Linked DNA regions of Arabidopsis thaliana. The protein of the gene in region 1 interacts with the protein of each later gene in a pairwise test. Each region holds a gene or a part of one and is shown in the gene's direction. Other genes may lie near its edges.

The links. Proteins that work in one complex are often made in the same cells at the same time.
Region 2: the proteins of KNAT3 (region 1) and BEL1 interact in binary tests that used the Arabidopsis thaliana proteins (3 or more experiments, as listed by UniProt).
Region 3: the proteins of KNAT3 (region 1) and BLH7 interact in binary tests that used the Arabidopsis thaliana proteins (3 or more experiments, as listed by UniProt).

The regions. Positions count from the first base shown.
Region 1 is NC_003076.8:8,733,372-8,739,644, forward strand, and holds KNAT3 (homeobox protein knotted-1-like 3), read left to right. Parts: upstream 1-2,572; 5' UTR 2,573-2,836; coding exon 2,837-3,517; intron 3,518-3,792; coding exon 3,793-3,913; intron 3,914-4,001; coding exon 4,002-4,186; intron 4,187-4,263; coding exon 4,264-4,395; intron 4,396-4,473; coding exon 4,474-4,610; intron 4,611-4,704; coding exon 4,705-4,744; 3' UTR 4,745-5,230; downstream 5,231-6,273.
Region 2 is NC_003076.8:16,577,480-16,584,577, forward strand, and holds BEL1 (POX (plant homeobox) family protein), read left to right. Parts: upstream 1-2,456; 5' UTR 2,457-2,944; coding exon 2,945-3,802; intron 3,803-4,404; coding exon 4,405-4,796; intron 4,797-5,621; coding exon 5,622-5,682; intron 5,683-5,766; coding exon 5,767-6,291; 3' UTR 6,292-6,598; downstream 6,599-7,098. UniProt on the Arabidopsis thaliana protein: Plays a major role in ovule patterning and in determination of integument identity via its interaction with MADS-box factors. Formation of complex with AG-SEP dimers negatively regulates the carpel identity process and favors the maintenance of ovule identity.
Region 3 is NC_003071.7:7,100,769-7,106,425, reverse strand, and holds BLH7 (BEL1-like homeodomain 7), read left to right. Parts: upstream 1-2,497; 5' UTR 2,498-3,011; intron 3,012-3,185; 5' UTR 3,186-3,225; coding exon 3,226-3,777; intron 3,778-3,862; coding exon 3,863-4,242; intron 4,243-4,323; coding exon 4,324-4,384; intron 4,385-4,480; coding exon 4,481-4,936; 3' UTR 4,937-5,157; downstream 5,158-5,657. Other genes in the region: AT2G16405 (Transducin/WD40 repeat-like superfamily protein), read left to right, coding at 1-105, 216-292, 398-511; DRD1 (SNF2 domain-containing protein / helicase domain-containing protein), read right to left, coding at 5,244-5,247, 5,334-5,657.

The DNA.
Region 1 (6,273 bases):
GAAACTATAATGCCTTGTTTTAGAAAGATGTGAGAGAATATAAAAAAACTTATGTGTTATTCAATTATAGAGAGATGAAATTCACCATATAAAACTTACATGTGTTATCATCAGTAATTACAATTATACACATCAAGAAAATTTCTATATTTTTCTAACTAGGAAAATTGTACTTCAACTGTTGATTTCATCATTGATCTAGAATATCTAATTACTTTTACTATCGTACATATTAAAATCGGAGATATGATGAATCGAAAAGATTAAAACTATATAAATTTTTATTTTTGTAAACTTTCCTACATGGACATACATTATACTAAAATTATATAATATGTAATGTATGATCGTGCATGTTTAAAATTCAGCGTTTCACACGTGTAGTTTGGGACAACTTCGGCGTTTTTTTGGTTGAGTAAGATGACATGTGGCTCGACATTCATAACTATTGTGAATAAAATAAATTGATTTATGTAATGATTGGACACATTTGATGAAGTGGTTTCTTGAAAATAAGACTTTGGATGGATGCAGTGTGGACAAACCGGTATAATTTGTTTGCGGTTTAGTTTATCTGGCAGACAAAAAACCGTTGCAGACCAAGTTTATTTGTATGTAAAAATGGTCTGCAGATGGTCCGTTGCGGTTTTCTTCTATTTTTTTTAGATCACTACGAACTATAATTAATAAATAATAAATAAAAAACGGTATGATCCGTTGACGGTTTTATCCGCCCCAACCGCCATAACCATTCAAATCCTAAATAAAAACGGTTTTGATAATATAAGAACCAGCCCAAAGATGAAGTTATATATGTGACTATGTTAACACACATTTATAGTATGAGTTAACCTAGACCTATTTGCGTCTCACTTCTTATTAAATGCTAAAAATTTACCAAAAGGACGCTATTCATCACAATTAAGTTTAAATCTCTAAATTAATTGATCGTTTAAGTTTTTAACCAAACTCAAATAAATAAAAAAATATACGATAACTTTTATTGTGACGATCGAATATACTACCATCAAATTTTATACCAAATTTCTGTTTCGTAGCATGTACGAAAATTTTCACTCCAAAAAAAATCTAAAAATTATATTTACCAAAAACTGTGATTTCAGAAAATTATGTGATTTTAAAGAACCAGTGATTTCTCAAATTATATTATATGAAATGATTATTATTATTTTAAAAAGGTGAAAGGGTGAAGCAAAAAAATAGTGTGCATAAACAAATAAGCTAATTTGTTTTCTGGTACTTAGGTCTTTTAAATCCATATAAATAAATTCTTAAAAGATTGTTTTATTTCAAATCTTTAACCTAAAATTGTAACTTTAAATTCATGATTAAATTTTTTGTTTTCAATAATTTCTCGTAACTTCATTACATAAAACGAGAAGGATTTATAATAGGTAAAGGCGTGAAGCAAAAAATAATTGTATAAATAAATAAGTTAAATTTGTTTCATAGTGCCATAAAATTACACTAACATCTGAACGTGAAACGCACGCGCTTCTTCATATCATAGATACGTTGCGTCTTAAAACACAACACGTAGCAACTCTTTTTAAAAAGGAAAAATACATTTATTATTCCCAACAATAAAAAAAATCAAACACAGTCGAAGAAGGCAACGACCTTTCGCAGCCGTCAGATCTTAATAAATACAGTCGCCACTAAAATTTAACGACATAGATCGAACCATGACGACCTACTTTCTTTAATTAATTTTCTGTCGTGACCTAATCTTCTATTTGTTGTTTCATTAGTCACTTACTTTTATATTTATTCTTTCTTAGGTCTATGTGGACCAAAGTGATTGGAAAAGAAAAAAAAATACATTTTTGTCAACCATAACTAAATTATCTTATTTTCTCAAATGCACTGTTTATTATGTAGCGTACTGATTTATTAAATACTTTTGCTTTCTATGGTTAATTTATGATGTCGGATTTTTATCTTTCCCCCAATAATAATATCACTATAGAAGAAAGTTTACAAATTCTTAGTTAAATCAAAAAAGATTTTATCAGTTGATTTGATTATACGAGGTGACATCAATTTTTGTCTTCTTTAACAAAAAAAATCAATTTTTGTTTTCTTTAACAAAAAAAATCAATTTTTGTCTTACTTTTTAATTAGCATTTAGAAAAATATTTAACAAATAAAAGTTCTCATAAGCGATTTTTAAAAAAATGTTTTGTTTTTACTATCTTTCAGTTTTTTTTTTTAAATTAATTTTCTAAAAAAACACATATATTAAAAAACATATTAAAACTAATTATAAACATATTATCTTTTGTGATTTATATTTTTTTATAATTCTAAACCAATGATATTCAATTATTTATCTTAAAATTAAAAATTTATCAATAATAACTAATAAATAATGTATAGAAAATTTAAAAATTATTTTTTTTAAAACAATTTTTTTCCTCTAAAAAATTAAATAATAAGGAATAGAGAAGGAATATTTTTTTATCTAATAAATTCCATATAATAATTCAATTATATTGATAAATAGGTTGCAAAAAATAAGAAAGAATAAATATGAGAATAAATGGTCATCTCTCGATCTCTCAGCTCTGTGCAACTCTGAACACACCCACACATATATACTCAGATACATACATACACACCACAAAAACCAATTATTTTCCAATTTTAAGAAAAGTTTCTGTGTCTTTTTTTTTTTTTTTGGTGATAATTGAAACATATGAAACAATCGTCGTCATAGAAGCAGCAGAGATTCACCTTCTTTCTTTATCTTTCCCTCTCAGAAACAGGAAACAAAATTCAAAAAGAACAAAAAAAAAAAGGTCAAACCAAAACGATGGCGTTTCATCACAATCATCTCTCACAAGACCTCTCCTTCAATCATTTCACCGACCAACACCAACCTCCACCTCCGCAACCGCCTCCTCCTCCTCCGCAACAGCAACAACATTTCCAAGAAGCACCGCCTCCTAATTGGTTAAACACAGCGCTTCTTCGTTCCTCAGATAACAACAATAACTTCCTCAACCTCCACACAGCCACCGCTAACACCACAACCGCAAGCAGCTCCGATTCTCCTTCCTCCGCCGCCGCCGCCGCCGCTGCTAACCAGTGGCTATCTCGCTCCTCCTCTTTCCTCCAACGAAACAACAACAACAACGCTTCCATAGTCGGAGATGGGATCGATGATGTCACCGGAGGAGCAGACACTATGATTCAGGGAGAGATGAAAACCGGCGGTGGAGAAAACAAAAACGACGGCGGAGGAGCTACGGCGGCGGATGGAGTAGTGAGCTGGCAGAATGCGAGACACAAGGCGGAGATCCTTTCGCATCCTCTTTACGAGCAGCTTTTGTCGGCGCACGTTGCTTGTTTGAGAATCGCGACTCCGGTTGATCAGCTTCCGAGAATCGATGCTCAGCTTGCTCAGTCTCAACACGTCGTCGCTAAATACTCAGCTTTAGGCGCCGCCGCTCAAGGTCTCGTCGGCGACGATAAAGAACTTGACCAGTTCATGGTATATAAATTTCAGATTTTTTTGTTCTATAATTTTATAATTAACGATTTCATAATTATACTTAGCACAAATTTTAATAATACACACCGACTTAGGTTTCTTGATTTTTGAAATCTTAAAATATTAAAATCAAGATTTGTGTTTTTAGGGATAAACAAGACTAAAATCCCAAAAAAAGAGCTTATGATATAATAATGGTCATGATGATGAAGAAAATACAAATTTTGTTCTTTGTGTTTATTGTGTGTTTGATTAATGTTTTTTTTATGGTGTAGACACATTATGTGTTGCTACTGTGTTCATTTAAAGAGCAATTGCAACAACATGTGCGTGTTCATGCAATGGAAGCTGTGATGGCTTGTTGGGAGATTGAGCAGTCTCTTCAAAGCTTAACAGGTGAGAAAATGAATCCTGTGATTAGCTCATGAATCCAATAGTTAGTTTTATGACATTGACAAGTTTTGTGTTTTATTGGTGAGATTAGGAGTGTCTCCTGGAGAAGGGATGGGAGCAACAATGTCTGACGATGAAGATGAACAAGTAGAGAGTGATGCTAATATGTTCGATGGGGGATTAGATGTGTTGGGTTTTGGTCCTTTGATTCCTACTGAGAGTGAGAGGTCGTTGATGGAAAGAGTTAGACAAGAACTTAAACATGAACTCAAACAGGTAATAATCAACAAACTTGTTCTTTGAACTAGTTCATGAACTAACAATGTAGAGGGCTTTGTCTTGTTGATGAAAAGGGTTACAAGGAGAAGATAGTAGACATAAGAGAGGAGATATTAAGGAAGAGAAGAGCTGGGAAGTTACCAGGAGATACCACCTCTGTTCTCAAAGCTTGGTGGCAATCTCATTCCAAATGGCCTTACCCTACTGTGAGTTCACTCATCTAACATCTCTTTATAACTTCTTCAAGTTCATTCATTGAGCCATAACCAAATATTGGTTTGTAGGAGGAAGATAAGGCGAGGTTGGTGCAAGAGACAGGTTTGCAGCTAAAACAGATAAACAATTGGTTCATCAATCAGAGAAAGAGGAACTGGCATAGCAATCCATCTTCTTCCACTGTATTGAAGAACAAACGCAAAAGGTATTATTATACTTTAATATAGTCTTGTAACATAACCGAAAAACTTATGGATCGGACTCAAAGAAGACTGAAACTTTTGTTTGTCTGATGAAAGCAATGCAGGTGACAATAGCGGAAGAGAGCGGTTCGCGTAGAAACAACAAACATATGATGTGAATTGGGGAGGTGGAAGATGGGATTTGAAAGCAGGGTTTTAGGGATTTAAAGTTGAGAATTTTATGGAGGAGTTTGGATTATACAGAGAGAGGGGACAGTATTAGAAAGTAACTTTTTGTGCAATTACATAGTAACGTAGTTTGGTTATGTGATTATGCCCATATATTTTATTAAGTAGCACACAAACCAAAAAGAAAATATGAAAACTGAAGATGCAGGCTTTTGTTTAATGTTTTTTGTTTGTTTGTCTGCATGAGTTTTTTTTTTATGAACCATCAGATAATCATCATCATCATCCATAATATATCTTGTGAATAAAGATAGTGAGAGAGGAGAACATTGGGATGCACAAGTTTTCTTAATCTACTAGTATATGTTACGCATTGACCAGGTGCATATGTTAATTTGTATCGCACCACTTGGTTAGCTTAATCTATGTGACTATTATACAGTATATGTTTCGCATTAACCGTACTTAACCCATCTTATGATTCTTATCCGCTTAGTTCGTAGTATTTATTGCGATGTCACATTCCAACTCGTGATATTGGCTTGATAAGTAAAAGACATTATACATGGTAGATGACGACAAAAAATAAAACATACCCCATCTTACATAACGTAGCTTGCTGCGTACTTTTGTAATTGTAATAATTTGAAACGTGTTCTTTTTTCTAGTCAAAATTGTTTGTTTATCCTCATCTTGTTGTTTCGTTTGTCACGTTTGTGATAGCCACAAGTTACTGTAAGTTTTCGGCGAGATTTTTCTATCGATCACGGAGAGATTCTGCACACATTAACAAAGATAATTAGAGTGTCCTTAAGTATTTTGGTCGCCTCTCTATTAGAGGACCATACAAAGTTCAAAGACTAGTCTCATGAGAAGCCCATTAGTACATTAGATTAAATCTAGGAAAGTAGATTCATATAAGTAGTTTTGTAATGAACATCAAAGTTGTTAACTTAGAGAATTGTCATTTGGATTGTATAAATGGTTTGATAAACGAAGTCTAACATTAGTATGTGTTAGTCTTCTAAATTCAAATAATAATCGGAGTTTTGGTCTCTTGGACGATGCTTCACAGTGATATTCAAAAGTTTACCGTTATCACCCACCAACTAGAGAAGCCAAATTAGGTCTTTTACCAACTGTAGGGTAAAGAACTGTCTTCATGTAATCATTATAACCACCACCATCTTGTTATGCTTTGTTTCTTCTTCAAATTGCAGCTTTCAATATACAACCCGGTTTACGTTCTGGTTTACACTTTAGACGTTTCAATTTACAAAATTGGGCCGATTGACAGATATTGGACCTGGCCCATCAATCTAAAAATGCGCTATTTTGAATCAAAGACCTATTTAAATCTTCCGACGACGACTCCGTTCACATAGCAGAAACAGTGGCGACAAACCCTATCACGGAGCCAACCCGCATTTTCCTCTAGCTTTCGCACCGCCTCTCGCTCTCTCGCCCCACCGGTTCGTCTCTGACATTTTGTGCTTG
Region 2 (7,098 bases), 7.8 Mb from region 1:
ACACATGTATTTAATTTGGAAACAAAAAAATGAATGTATAGATGATTTTTTTTTTGAATTGTTGGTAAATATATGAACTTGACGTATATAGCAATAGTATACTATATTTAAGCAACTGAATGTGAATATTCTATAACACAAGTAATATCAATTTTTTGTGATATTGTTGGTTATAAGTTATATTCGAATTTGTCATTTATAAGAAAACTCACTGGTTTATCCATCCAATGAAAAGAAGAAAGCTTTTTGGGTGACTCTAATAAATATTAGCGGTTAAATAACTACAAACACAGTGTTGTTTTTGTCTCTTCTATGTATCTTTTTATGTCCTCTTTTACAACTTGGCTTTGATGTTAACTAATCAAAGATTATCCTACTTAAAAACTATTTAATTAAATAATTTTTAATTTCTTTAAAATTAATTAATTTCTTGATATGTTTTTGTAACGCCAATTAATTATACGTTTTTCATAATGTGGTGTTTGACTTATGGTTTGAATGTTAAGATGTCGTATATATCTAAATTCTAAAGAAAGAAATTTGCAAATTTTGTAATAAACACTATTTTTACAACAATTAATAATACATGTGCCAAGCAGAAGAACGACTATATTAGTTTTCTATGTCAACATTTAAGAAACATTTATTTAAAATTTGAATATTTGATTTTGTATGTCAGCAATGTTTAAGAAAACTTTGATTTTTTGTTTTCCTTCTTTTGCGTACATATTAAATGGAATTTAATAGAAAACCATTAAATCTTGATATAATTAACTTCTTCGCCCTTGCAGTTACTAACAAGGAGACTTTTGTTTTGGTACTTTCTCGATTAGTTTAGTGACCGACCAACAACGTATTTTAAAACTCAAAACACAATCTCTTTCACGTACTGTGCGAAGTGCAAGTCGAATAATGACATCAGTCCATTTGTGTTGTATTACACGGGACTACGATCTCTATTCTACTATATATAATTACTATTAATTAAAATGTTTATATAGTTATGATATGGTTGATAGTAATTTAATAGTAATTGTTAAACAGTAGAGAAGTGACACTGAGACATATCTGAGAAAAGCCTGAACTCAACTCCTACTTCTGGTTTGATTTCTTGGGATTCGTTCTCTTTCATTTACTTACCTCTCCATCTATACACCAACATATATATATATATATTGGTATGTTAATTCTCCAAAAAAAAAAAAAACTATTTTAGGAGCAAAACTTTTTCACAGTTATTCATTTTTTAAGTTAACTTAACTTCTCTTCTTTGTTTGAAAATTCATTTATCATCAAATAATTCTGTTATAAATTAGACCTGATAATAATTCTTTAACAAAGAAAATATATTTTAGGAGCAAAATAGGCAGAGCCGCAGAGGCATACATGTATTATATATAACGATTATTTATGTATAGAAAGGGACACCTTTTGTACAAAATACTAGTTAAATTTGTACATTCACGTGACTGGTTGGCTAAATTTAGAATATTATTATTTTCAATTAAAAATCATCGTCAATGTTCAAATATTGCTTGAGATACGCTATGCTTCATAAAAATGTTTAAAAAGTAGTTCCAAAAAATATTTTCACCAAAAAAAAAAGTAGTTCCAAAAATATTCATTTAATAACAAAATTTGCCTACATAAGCTTAGCAAACGACACTAACACCAAAATTGATATCATTTTCTTAGATAACATATTGTATACATATCTACATACATACTAAATACATATACACGTAGATTACACGTATGGATTCAGCAATAAAAATCAAAATACTAAATACATATATACATATATATATATATATATGAACATTTAAATACTAAATTATGTTTAATAAATAATTAAATCAACGTAGAGATATGTCATATGAAGATGGCTTGTATAATTAGTTTGTGTACCGGGCAAAGGATCTCTAATTTTTGTTTTCTTTAGTTCAGTTTAATTATTTGTTATCTATCCAATCAATTTTTTTTCTAAACTGTTTGGACCAATGTACGTACGTACCATCCTTTTTGATTTTTTTTGTAAACTAAATTTTCGAATTAGCAGGTTCTTAATAATTGAACGAAGAAAATAAAGAATAGAGGTAGACACCTGTAGTATTTTCTTGGTCAGACCAATAATTTATAATTCAACGTCAAAGAAGAAGAAAAATATAAACCATTATTTCATTATGACTTACGTATACCAAAATACACAAATTAAATGTATAATTGTGAGGCATTTTATATGCGGGAAAAAATAAAATAAAAAGAATATTAATATTTCTTTTGAAAATTGTAAAGCATTTTGACCCACTTGTGATATATATATATATATAGATATATATAGAGAGAGAGATTAAAACATTGATGGCTAGCTATAGAGTCTATGGCAGGGTCATGATCACCTGTCTTCTGATCTCTGAAGAGATACCAATCTGATTTTTTCTCTTCCTAGGTTTAATTTTATTTTACCATTTTATAATTCTTTATTTTTGCCTGTAGTACAATTTACAGACCCATACTAAAAGAAAAATTAAATTTTGTCAAAGTACAAAACAAAGAGAGAGGTGAAGCCACACAATCTCTTTTCTTCTCTCTCTCTCTGTTATATCTCTTCTGTTTAATTCTTTTATTCTTCTTCGTCTATCTTCTCCTATAATCTCTTCTCTCTCCCTCTTCACCTAAAGAATAAGAAGAAAAATAATTCACATCTTTATGCAAACTACTTTCTTGTAGGGTTTTAGGAGCTATCTCTATTGTCTTGGTTCTGATACAAAGTTTTGTAATTTTCATGGTATGAGAAGATTTGCCTTTCTATTTTGTTTATTGGTTCTTTTTAACTTTTTCTTGGAGATGGGTTCTTGTAGATCTTAATGAAACTTCTGTTTTTGTCCCAAAAAGAGTTTTCTTTTTTCTTCTCTTCTTTTTGGGTTTTCAATTCTTGAGAGACATGGCAAGAGATCAGTTCTATGGTCACAATAACCATCATCATCAAGAGCAACAACATCAAATGATTAATCAGATCCAAGGGTTTGATGAGACAAACCAAAACCCAACCGATCATCATCATTACAATCATCAGATCTTTGGCTCAAACTCCAACATGGGTATGATGATAGACTTCTCTAAGCAACAACAGATTAGGATGACAAGTGGTTCGGATCATCATCATCATCATCATCAGACAAGTGGTGGTACTGATCAGAATCAGCTTCTGGAAGATTCTTCATCTGCCATGAGACTATGCAATGTTAATAATGATTTCCCAAGTGAAGTAAATGATGAGAGACCACCACAAAGACCAAGCCAAGGTCTTTCCCTTTCTCTCTCCTCTTCAAATCCTACAAGCATCAGTCTCCAATCTTTCGAACTCAGACCCCAACAACAACAACAACAAGGGTATTCCGGTAATAAATCAACACAACATCAGAATCTCCAACACACGCAGATGATGATGATGATGATGAATAGTCACCACCAAAACAACAACAATAACAATCATCAGCATCATAATCATCATCAGTTTCAGATTGGGAGTTCCAAGTATTTGAGTCCAGCTCAAGAGCTACTGAGTGAGTTTTGCAGTCTTGGAGTAAAGGAAAGCGATGAAGAAGTGATGATGATGAAGCATAAGAAGAAGCAAAAGGGTAAACAACAAGAAGAGTGGGACACAAGTCACCACAGCAACAATGATCAACATGACCAATCTGCGACTACTTCTTCAAAGAAACATGTTCCACCACTTCACTCTCTTGAGTTCATGGAACTTCAGAAAAGAAAAGCCAAGTTGCTCTCCATGCTCGAAGAGGTATATATATTTTCAAGAAATTATTTCATTACTACTATCAAAACTTACATGAGTTTCTTAGAAAATCTAATCCTTTTTTATTTGGTTTCAACTTATTCCTAAAAATGTAAAATACCCACAAGTCTTTTACAAATCTTTTTTTTTTTCCTTTCATTTGGTTTCAACTTATTCCTAAATATGTAAGATACCCATAAATCTTGTATTTTTTCGATTCTTGATTAGGTCCATATATTTCTTAAAGTTACAAATTTCTTTTAGATATTAAGATAAAAAGATTCTTTTTTGTCTTCATTCTTTCATGTATTCTCGTCGAAAACAAGTTCGATCGTATCAACTACGAAAAGATCAACCCTTTTAATTCCTTTACTCATTATTTCTTTTTTTCTATAGAACCAAAATATAATTTTGTTTTCTTTGCTTTGAGCTAATTTGGAGACTCTAGTGGTCCTCCATATTTATAGCAATCAGTTTCATCATCATAAGCCATAACGAGTTGTTTCTTTTTCGTGTATTTACTCATTCTAAGAATCTACATTTACACGATTGTGATTGAAATCTTTGTGAATGGTGTGGGGTAACGTTTTTTTGCGGTTTTTTGGCAGCTTAAAAGAAGATATGGACATTACCGAGAGCAAATGAGAGTTGCGGCGGCAGCCTTTGAAGCGGCGGTTGGACTAGGAGGGGCAGAGATATACACTGCGTTAGCGTCAAGGGCAATGTCAAGACACTTTCGGTGTTTAAAAGACGGACTTGTGGGACAGATTCAAGCAACAAGTCAAGCTTTGGGAGAGAGAGAAGAGGATAATCGTGCGGTTTCTATTGCAGCACGTGGAGAAACTCCACGGTTGAGATTGCTCGATCAAGCTTTGCGGCAACAGAAATCGTATCGCCAAATGACTCTTGTTGACGCTCATCCTTGGCGTCCACAACGCGGCTTGCCTGAACGCGCAGTCACAACGTTGAGAGCTTGGCTCTTTGAACACTTTCTTCACCCGTAAGTTATTTCATATACATCCTCTTAATATATTTACACATACCTAAAAGTTACTAATTGTGTCTTTCTGAAGTGATCAATGAAGGTAGAATCACAAGTTAATTGGGTATATTTATGGAGCTATATAAAACCTCTTTAACGATTTTATTTCATTGATAGTACGTTGATAAATAGTATGATAGGTTTTTTTTGTTTGTTACATGAATATTTTTGAACATATAAAAGTAAAAAAATATGTACATTTTATATAGAGAGATTGAGATTGACTTGACAAGCATAGGATACAATCTACCTTAATCTGTTAATTGCATATAGCTTTTTTATTTTCCTTTTTCTTTCATTTGCACTATTGGTGTGAAAGTGAGTGTACAAACATATACATATACACATGTATATATATGTATACGAACATATAAAATTAAATAAAATAAATTTAACTGGTGGATGAAAGACAGAAATAGAGAAAGGTACAAAGTGGATTGAGAGAGAGAATCAATGTTCTTTACCTAACACTAACAAAAGAGAGAAACTATACATAACTCCTTGCTTTTTTCTCCATGTTTTTATTTTGTTCTTTTTCTTCTACTTTTTATTTATTTAATTTACAGAAGTTATATGTTTATCATCATATGTAACACTTGTCTCCATCAATTCCCAAACACTGCTCAAACAATGAAACATCTTGTTAGTTTTCACCAAACCCTTTACCTTTGCTTCCATTTTATTTGCATCATTCTTCAATCATTTATATCCTTTTTTTTAATTACATATCCATTTGTCTTATATTTTTCCATTAAAGTAAAATTTTCTTATTTTTGTTTTCAGATATCCGAGCGATGTTGATAAGCATATATTGGCCCGACAAACTGGTTTATCAAGAAGTCAGGTAAAGAATAACTCCACTAATTCTTGATATATTCCAAAATTTATTATCCTATTTACTAAAGTTATAATAAACCAAAATTGTTAGGTATCAAATTGGTTTATTAATGCAAGAGTTAGGCTATGGAAACCAATGATTGAAGAAATGTACTGTGAAGAAACAAGAAGTGAACAAATGGAGATTACAAACCCGATGATGATCGATACTAAACCGGACCCGGACCAGTTGATCCGTGTCGAACCGGAATCTTTATCCTCAATAGTGACAAACCCTACATCCAAATCCGGTCACAACTCAACCCATGGAACGATGTCGTTAGGGTCAACGTTTGACTTTTCCTTGTACGGTAACCAAGCTGTGACATACGCTGGTGAAGGAGGGCCACGTGGTGACGTTTCCTTGACGCTTGGGTTACAACGTAACGATGGTAACGGTGGTGTGAGTTTAGCGTTGTCTCCAGTGACGGCTCAAGGTGGCCAACTTTTCTACGGTAGAGACCACATTGAAGAAGGACCGGTTCAATATTCAGCGTCGATGTTAGATGATGATCAAGTTCAGAATTTGCCTTATAGGAATTTGATGGGAGCTCAATTACTTCATGATATTGTTTGAGATTAAAAGATTAGGACCAAAGTTATCGATACATATTTTCCAAAACCGATTCGGTTATGTAACGGTTTAGTTAGATAAAAACCAAATTAGATATTTATATATACCGTTGTCTGATTGGATTGGAGGATTGGTGGACAAGGAGATATTATTAATGTATGAGTTAGTTGGTTCGTCAATATCACTTGTAGGATATTTTCATTTTGTTTTTTAAAATATATTATTGAGAGGTTTTTTTCTCAATCTAATACTTTTTTCTTAATGTAAATCATATATATTTTTGTTTAAGGAAATATTATCAAGTGTCTTTTCAAATCTGTTTTCATATTCTAGGACCATCTCAAACTATTTGGAAACATTCAATCCCTTAAAATTTTGTTTTTCTTATAAATTTGGTTTCAAAATTTCGAAAAGTAAATGGATATATAGTTTTTTTTAAAGTATGTTGAGTGTCTGTACATGACAATCGTTTACGTATATACTTGATACAAATTATAAAATTGAATGTGTGTAACTGTGTATAATATACACATAAATAGATATCACACAAACATGGACGAGTGAAATTTGTGTAGTTGGCATGCATTATACGGATTTGGAATCGAATAGATACGACTTCAGTAACGAAAATCACTAGACCATCATATTTATATAAAGACATAATTAGAGAGAGTGTATGGTCTTTGTGTTATTAATGACAAAACCTAATAAAATAAAGTTGACGACAAACATAATAAAGAAAGAACAAACTGACTATTGGACCATCTCGGTCGATCGATAACGTTCACGTGTACACTCCCGTATACATAT
Region 3 (5,657 bases), on another chromosome or scaffold:
AAGGTTATTTGACTTTGCGTTGCTCCCTCAAATTAGCCCCGCGAATACACAGAATCCAAGCATCGTTTTGCCCGCTATTATCACTAGAGAAAGGAGAATACATAGGTTTGAATTTCAATCCTTCATTTACCTATAGTTTTGGTAATAGTAGATTCATAGGTCTCTTGAGAAGTGCAAGTCATTTTCTCCGCGTTTCTTCTTGTTTGAAACTACAGTTGCTGGAAGCGAAGACTCGAATGTCTACTTCTATGATCTAACCAAACCGAAGCACACATGTGTAAACAAGCTACAGGTTAGACAATAACTTCTTTTCTTTTTTTTTATCTGAAACTTTTGTGTATGGATTTTGAATTATAGGAAACAGGATTCACGAGTTGTGAGAAATGGATGCTTGCAGGGTCACAGGTTTCCAGTAATGTGTGTTGCGTGGAACCATGGGGAGAACTTGTTGGCTTCGTCTGATTTCTATGGTGTTGTCATTGTATGGAAAAGAGCAAAGACAAGCTCATAAGGTTTGTCTATAATATTATAAATGAATCTAAATCCGTCATTTTTGCCACAAAGGCTTTGGGTTTGGCATCATCTCTGTATCGCTAATCTCAAAACTGTGTCAATTTAGTTTCCCATCTCTTATAAAGATATAGTTCTGTGACACTCCTATGCACAGATTCAATAGCTTAAATGGTTGGAACAGACACGTCCTTAATGAGTTAATAACTCTTTCCATAGATAAGTTGGTAGACAATTTGAAGAGATCAAGTTAATTGTACTCGCAATGTTTTTTGTTTTGTCACATTATCATGAACCAGATTAATTATCAGTAAAATTAATGAAGATTACATAAACAACATTCCATTGTAGTCTAGTTGGTCAAGATACTCAGCTCTCACCCAAGAGACCCAGGTTCAACAAGTTCCGGCAAGCTGGTTCATCTAATTCTTCAGGGGACCAAATGGAATATGATACTTGGTTCTCTTAGAGAAATGTGGCTCTAGGATTATATTGAATTCAAATTATGTAACTGATGAGCATTTGGTGCTTATATTAGTGTGGAAGTGGTTGGACTAGATAATCATGCTAATAATTAAACGTATTTCAACCAGCAAAAAGAATCCGAGTGTTTTGTGTATTAATTCTTTTACTAAAAGCAATAGAATCTCAACTTCAACGTAAGTAGGGCACTAATAAAAACTTAACATTTACAATTCTCTTATTTCCCAAGCAAATATCTTCGGCGTCATGTTCATATTGGATTAATAATAATAAGAAGAAGGGTTGGTTGGTCGTCGTATATTATGAAGACACTCTTCCCTATCCACTGACTCTATCTGTCCATTGTCCAGGTCTCTCTCTCTCTTTCTCCTTCTGCCATCTCTGTCCCAATTCAGACTTCTTTCTCTTCGCTACCCATCATTTCACGTTCTTCACTTATCCACCCCAATTTACTATTTTTATTTTCTTTTCAAGTTTTTATTCTCATATTTTGAAGTGTAAATTTAAATAAAATGCTTACCTATGTTTTCCCACAAAATTAACTCTTGTGTATTTCGTAATTTTTTTTTTCATAGAAAATAACTAAATCACTTAATTCACAAAAAGTCTATTTTGGTCTCTCCATGCAAAAACTATAACCTTTCAGTGTGTTGGTAAGAAAAGGTGGTACCACCATTTTCTATCACACTAAGATATCTCACCACACATTTTAATTTGACTTACCTCTTACCACCATTTCGTACCACCTTATACTACAAATCAGACTTATTATAAAATGTCTTGGAGTTGGGATTTTCTCAATTTGTTTCTGATTCGTAATCGTAAAGTCCTCCATGACAAGATATGGACCTACACTTAGTGAAAAGAAAGTAAAAGTTAGAAAATTTGTAGAAATACCTAAAATCTGTGGGCACAAAAAGACAAAGCTAAGTGGGGAAAAAGGCCACTTATTCATTATTTATGAGAAAGAGATAAGAATATGAAGTGTTTTTTTTTTGTTTATTCCTTGCAAAAATAGTTGTATGCAAATGCAACTATATAGTAAATAGCATGTGGACCATCACAGATATTATTCGAAAGAACAAAAAAAAATCAAATGTTGAAACTTGAAAGTGAAATTTAAAGACAAAGAAGAAGAAACTGTAAAAAGCTTACCAAAAAAGTGAAATTATTTTATTGAAAAGAAGTTGAAAAAAAACATCCGTGTGTAAACTTTGACACGTCGTTACCCAAATTATTCCCCACTCTAATAAAGATGGACTAGTCTACACAAAAATTAATATTATCTTTGATTACAAATCGGACATGAAATATTTAAAAAATTGCATAGCACCAAAATTAGATATGAAAAACGTTCATTATATATTTGTCTTATTCTCCAAATATGCTTGATAAACACATTATTATAGAAGAATTACGAAAATATCTTTTACTATTGACACCAATCAGGAATATATCAAATATTTTTAGATAAGAATATAAAAAACACAGAAAATGATTGTATGGTGGTTATAGCTTCATTCAATTTTATTGCAGCAAACAAACAGAAAGGCCAGAGAGACGAAAGAGAGAGGCATTAGGGTTTAGGATTAGGTTTTAGAAAAGGGTTTAGATCTCTACCAACTGGTTTGTTAAGAACATAATCTCCTTACCACATTTTTACTCTTGAAAACATTTTGATCTGTTTTTGTTATCTTCACCAAAAGACTTGACTCCAAGAAACAAGAAGAAGAATCAAGAAGCAAGTTCAAGAACCAGCTTTTAATGAAATCTCTACTTCAAAAAGGAAACTTGCTTTAAGGAGGATGGATCTTTTGTTTTCTTGAATCTTTTGTGTGGGTAAAACATTTTGTATTATCAAGATTTTGATTTGAGGAGATAAAGAGTTTGTTGTTAAGTTTGTGTTCTTGGGATCATCAAGAGTTAAAACAAAAAAAAAAAAACATTTCTTTTTTCCTTCTTCAATTTGAGATTTAGTGTCTCCTTTAACACCCACAAAGCCAGCAGATGCTTTCCTGGTAATTCTTTAATCTATCCTTTCTTCTTCTTTTTAAATTCTTAAATTCATGCAGAGAGATAATTCTCATAATTTTCATTGGTTCAATTTCTTAAAATTTGCTTAATTAAGATTTTATTACATAATGTGAAGTATAAAAAGGGTTTAGTGTTGTTTGTGTTTGATTCTGAAACAGATGACTCCTTGTTTGATCTGATCATAAGAAGAAGAAGACTATGGCCACTTATTACAAAACTGGCTCAAGTGAGATTTATTCCAGACCAGAATTTGTCCCTGGAAACGCAATGAACTACACAAATTCTTTCACAGAGACATTTCCTAGAGATTCAACTAATAATGTGTCACCTTCAAAAGAGATTCAAGTGTTGTCAAGCCTTGGTGGAGTTTCACAAATGGTTGAGATTCAAGATTCTGGTTCTTGGAGAGATCAAGAAGACAATGACAGGAATCGCTTCCCGGTGATGAGGCGTCTTGGCCTCAGCTCGCAGATTGAGACATCGAGAGGCAATAATAACAATGAGTATGCAACACAGGTTGTTTCGGGATTTACTCGAACCATTCACAACTCAAAGTATCTCAAAGCTGCTCAAGAGCTTCTTGATGAAACTGTTAATGTTAAGAAAGCTCTAAAGCAGTTTCAGCCAGAGGGAGATAAGATTAATGAAGTGAAAGAGAAGAATCTTCAGACGAATACTGCTGAAATCCCTCAAGCAGAGAGGCAAGAATTGCAGAGCAAGTTGTCGAAACTTTTATCGATATTAGACGAGGTAATCCGCCTTACAACATATCTTCTACACTTGTTAATGATTCTCGTGGTAACATAAATGTTGTTTGTTTCTTTGTTGTTTGAAGGTGGATAGAAATTACAAGCAGTATTACCATCAGATGCAGATAGTCGTGTCGTCTTTCGATGTAATAGCCGGATGTGGAGCAGCCAAACCATACACAGCCCTTGCGCTTCAGACCATCTCGAGGCATTTCCGTTGCTTAAGGGATGCGATATCCGGACAAATCTTGGTGATAAGGAAAAGTTTAGGAGGGGAACAGGATGGATCAGATGGGAGAGGAGTGGGGATAAGCAGGTTAAGGAATGTTGATCAACAGGTAAGGCAACAAAGAGCGTTGCAGCGGTTAGGTGTGATGCAACCTCACACTTGGCGGCCTCAACGCGGTTTACCAGATTCTTCTGTTTTGGTTCTCCGTGCTTGGCTATTTGAGCATTTCCTCCACCCGTAAGTCTCTCTACTACTCTTGTGAATTTTTTGATTGACCACAAGAGACTCTGACCATTTGTTTCAAAACCTTGAGCTTAGTTATCCAAAGGATTCAGACAAGATCATGCTCGCTAGACAAACGGGGTTGAGCCGAGGCCAGGTATTGCACTGTTAGCTTTTGTGCCGTTTCTCTCATTTAATACTTTTCTTTCTGGTGTGTTCATTTTTCATTGTTTCGTTTGATGATTGTTGAAAGGTATCGAACTGGTTCATAAATGCGCGTGTGCGTCTCTGGAAACCGATGGTGGAGGAGATGTACAAGGAGGAATTCACAGATGCATTGCAGGAGAATGATCCCAACCAGTCTTCTGAAAACACACCAGAAATCACCGAGATTCAAGAGCTGCAAACTGAGTCTAGTTCCAACAATGGGCATGTACCTGGTGTGGCAAGCAGTAGCATGAGACAAAACACAGTGGCCCATGGTGGTGACCGGTTCATGATGGTGACTGACATGACAAGAAATGGTAATGGTGGGATGTCTTTAACGTTGGGGATTCAGAATTCCGATGCTCGTGGCGATGTTCCTATGTCCGGTGGGATAGATAACTACAAGAATACCATCTCGGGAACCGATCTACAGTACTTAAACTCTCGCAACCACCAGCACCAGATTGGCTCTTCACAATTGTTGCATGATTTTGTAGCTTGAGGAGAATAGAAAGGTGTAGAAATGGATTCTTTTGTGAAAGTAAACCCAAAAAACGAAATTGTAGATTAATGAGAAAACATGAGGAGACAATCTGAGATTAGACACGATCTGTTTCATATTTAAACATGAGGAGACCTAATTATATGGTTAGAGGTACATGAGATCAAATGTTTTGACATTAAAATTACACTTAAAATGCTAACAATCATTCAGAAAATTCAAAAGGATCTACCCGAAGTTATCTTATTGACAGGTTTCTAAAACCTAAGCATGTCCAAAAAGCGGAAGCACAAGTTTCTGTCTGCGTTTACCTGAAAAAAGAAGCATTAAGGAAGTTCAATAACAGAGAAATGTGAGTTGAAGAGTTATGTGTGGATCTGATCTAAACTGATTTTACCTTTTGTAGAGAACTCTTATGTCTTCTCTTAAGGCAGGACTTTCGAGGAACGTATCACCAGCTTCATCCACATCGATCGTCTCTACCTCAAAGTTTTGATATCCGCAGTACTCGTTCCACTCGAACCACATCTTTGAGATGACTTCCTTTTTGAAACAAGTGTTGTGATCCTCTTCCTCAGGTGATGACCCAGCAATCAATCTATATGCATGCACCATCTTCTTTTGTCCGGGTCGAAACGCTCGCCCAATAGCTTGGCGGGTCACAGAAGGGTTTAGGGGAACATCCAATATTAGTATGCGAGATGCTCCAACAAGCGAGATA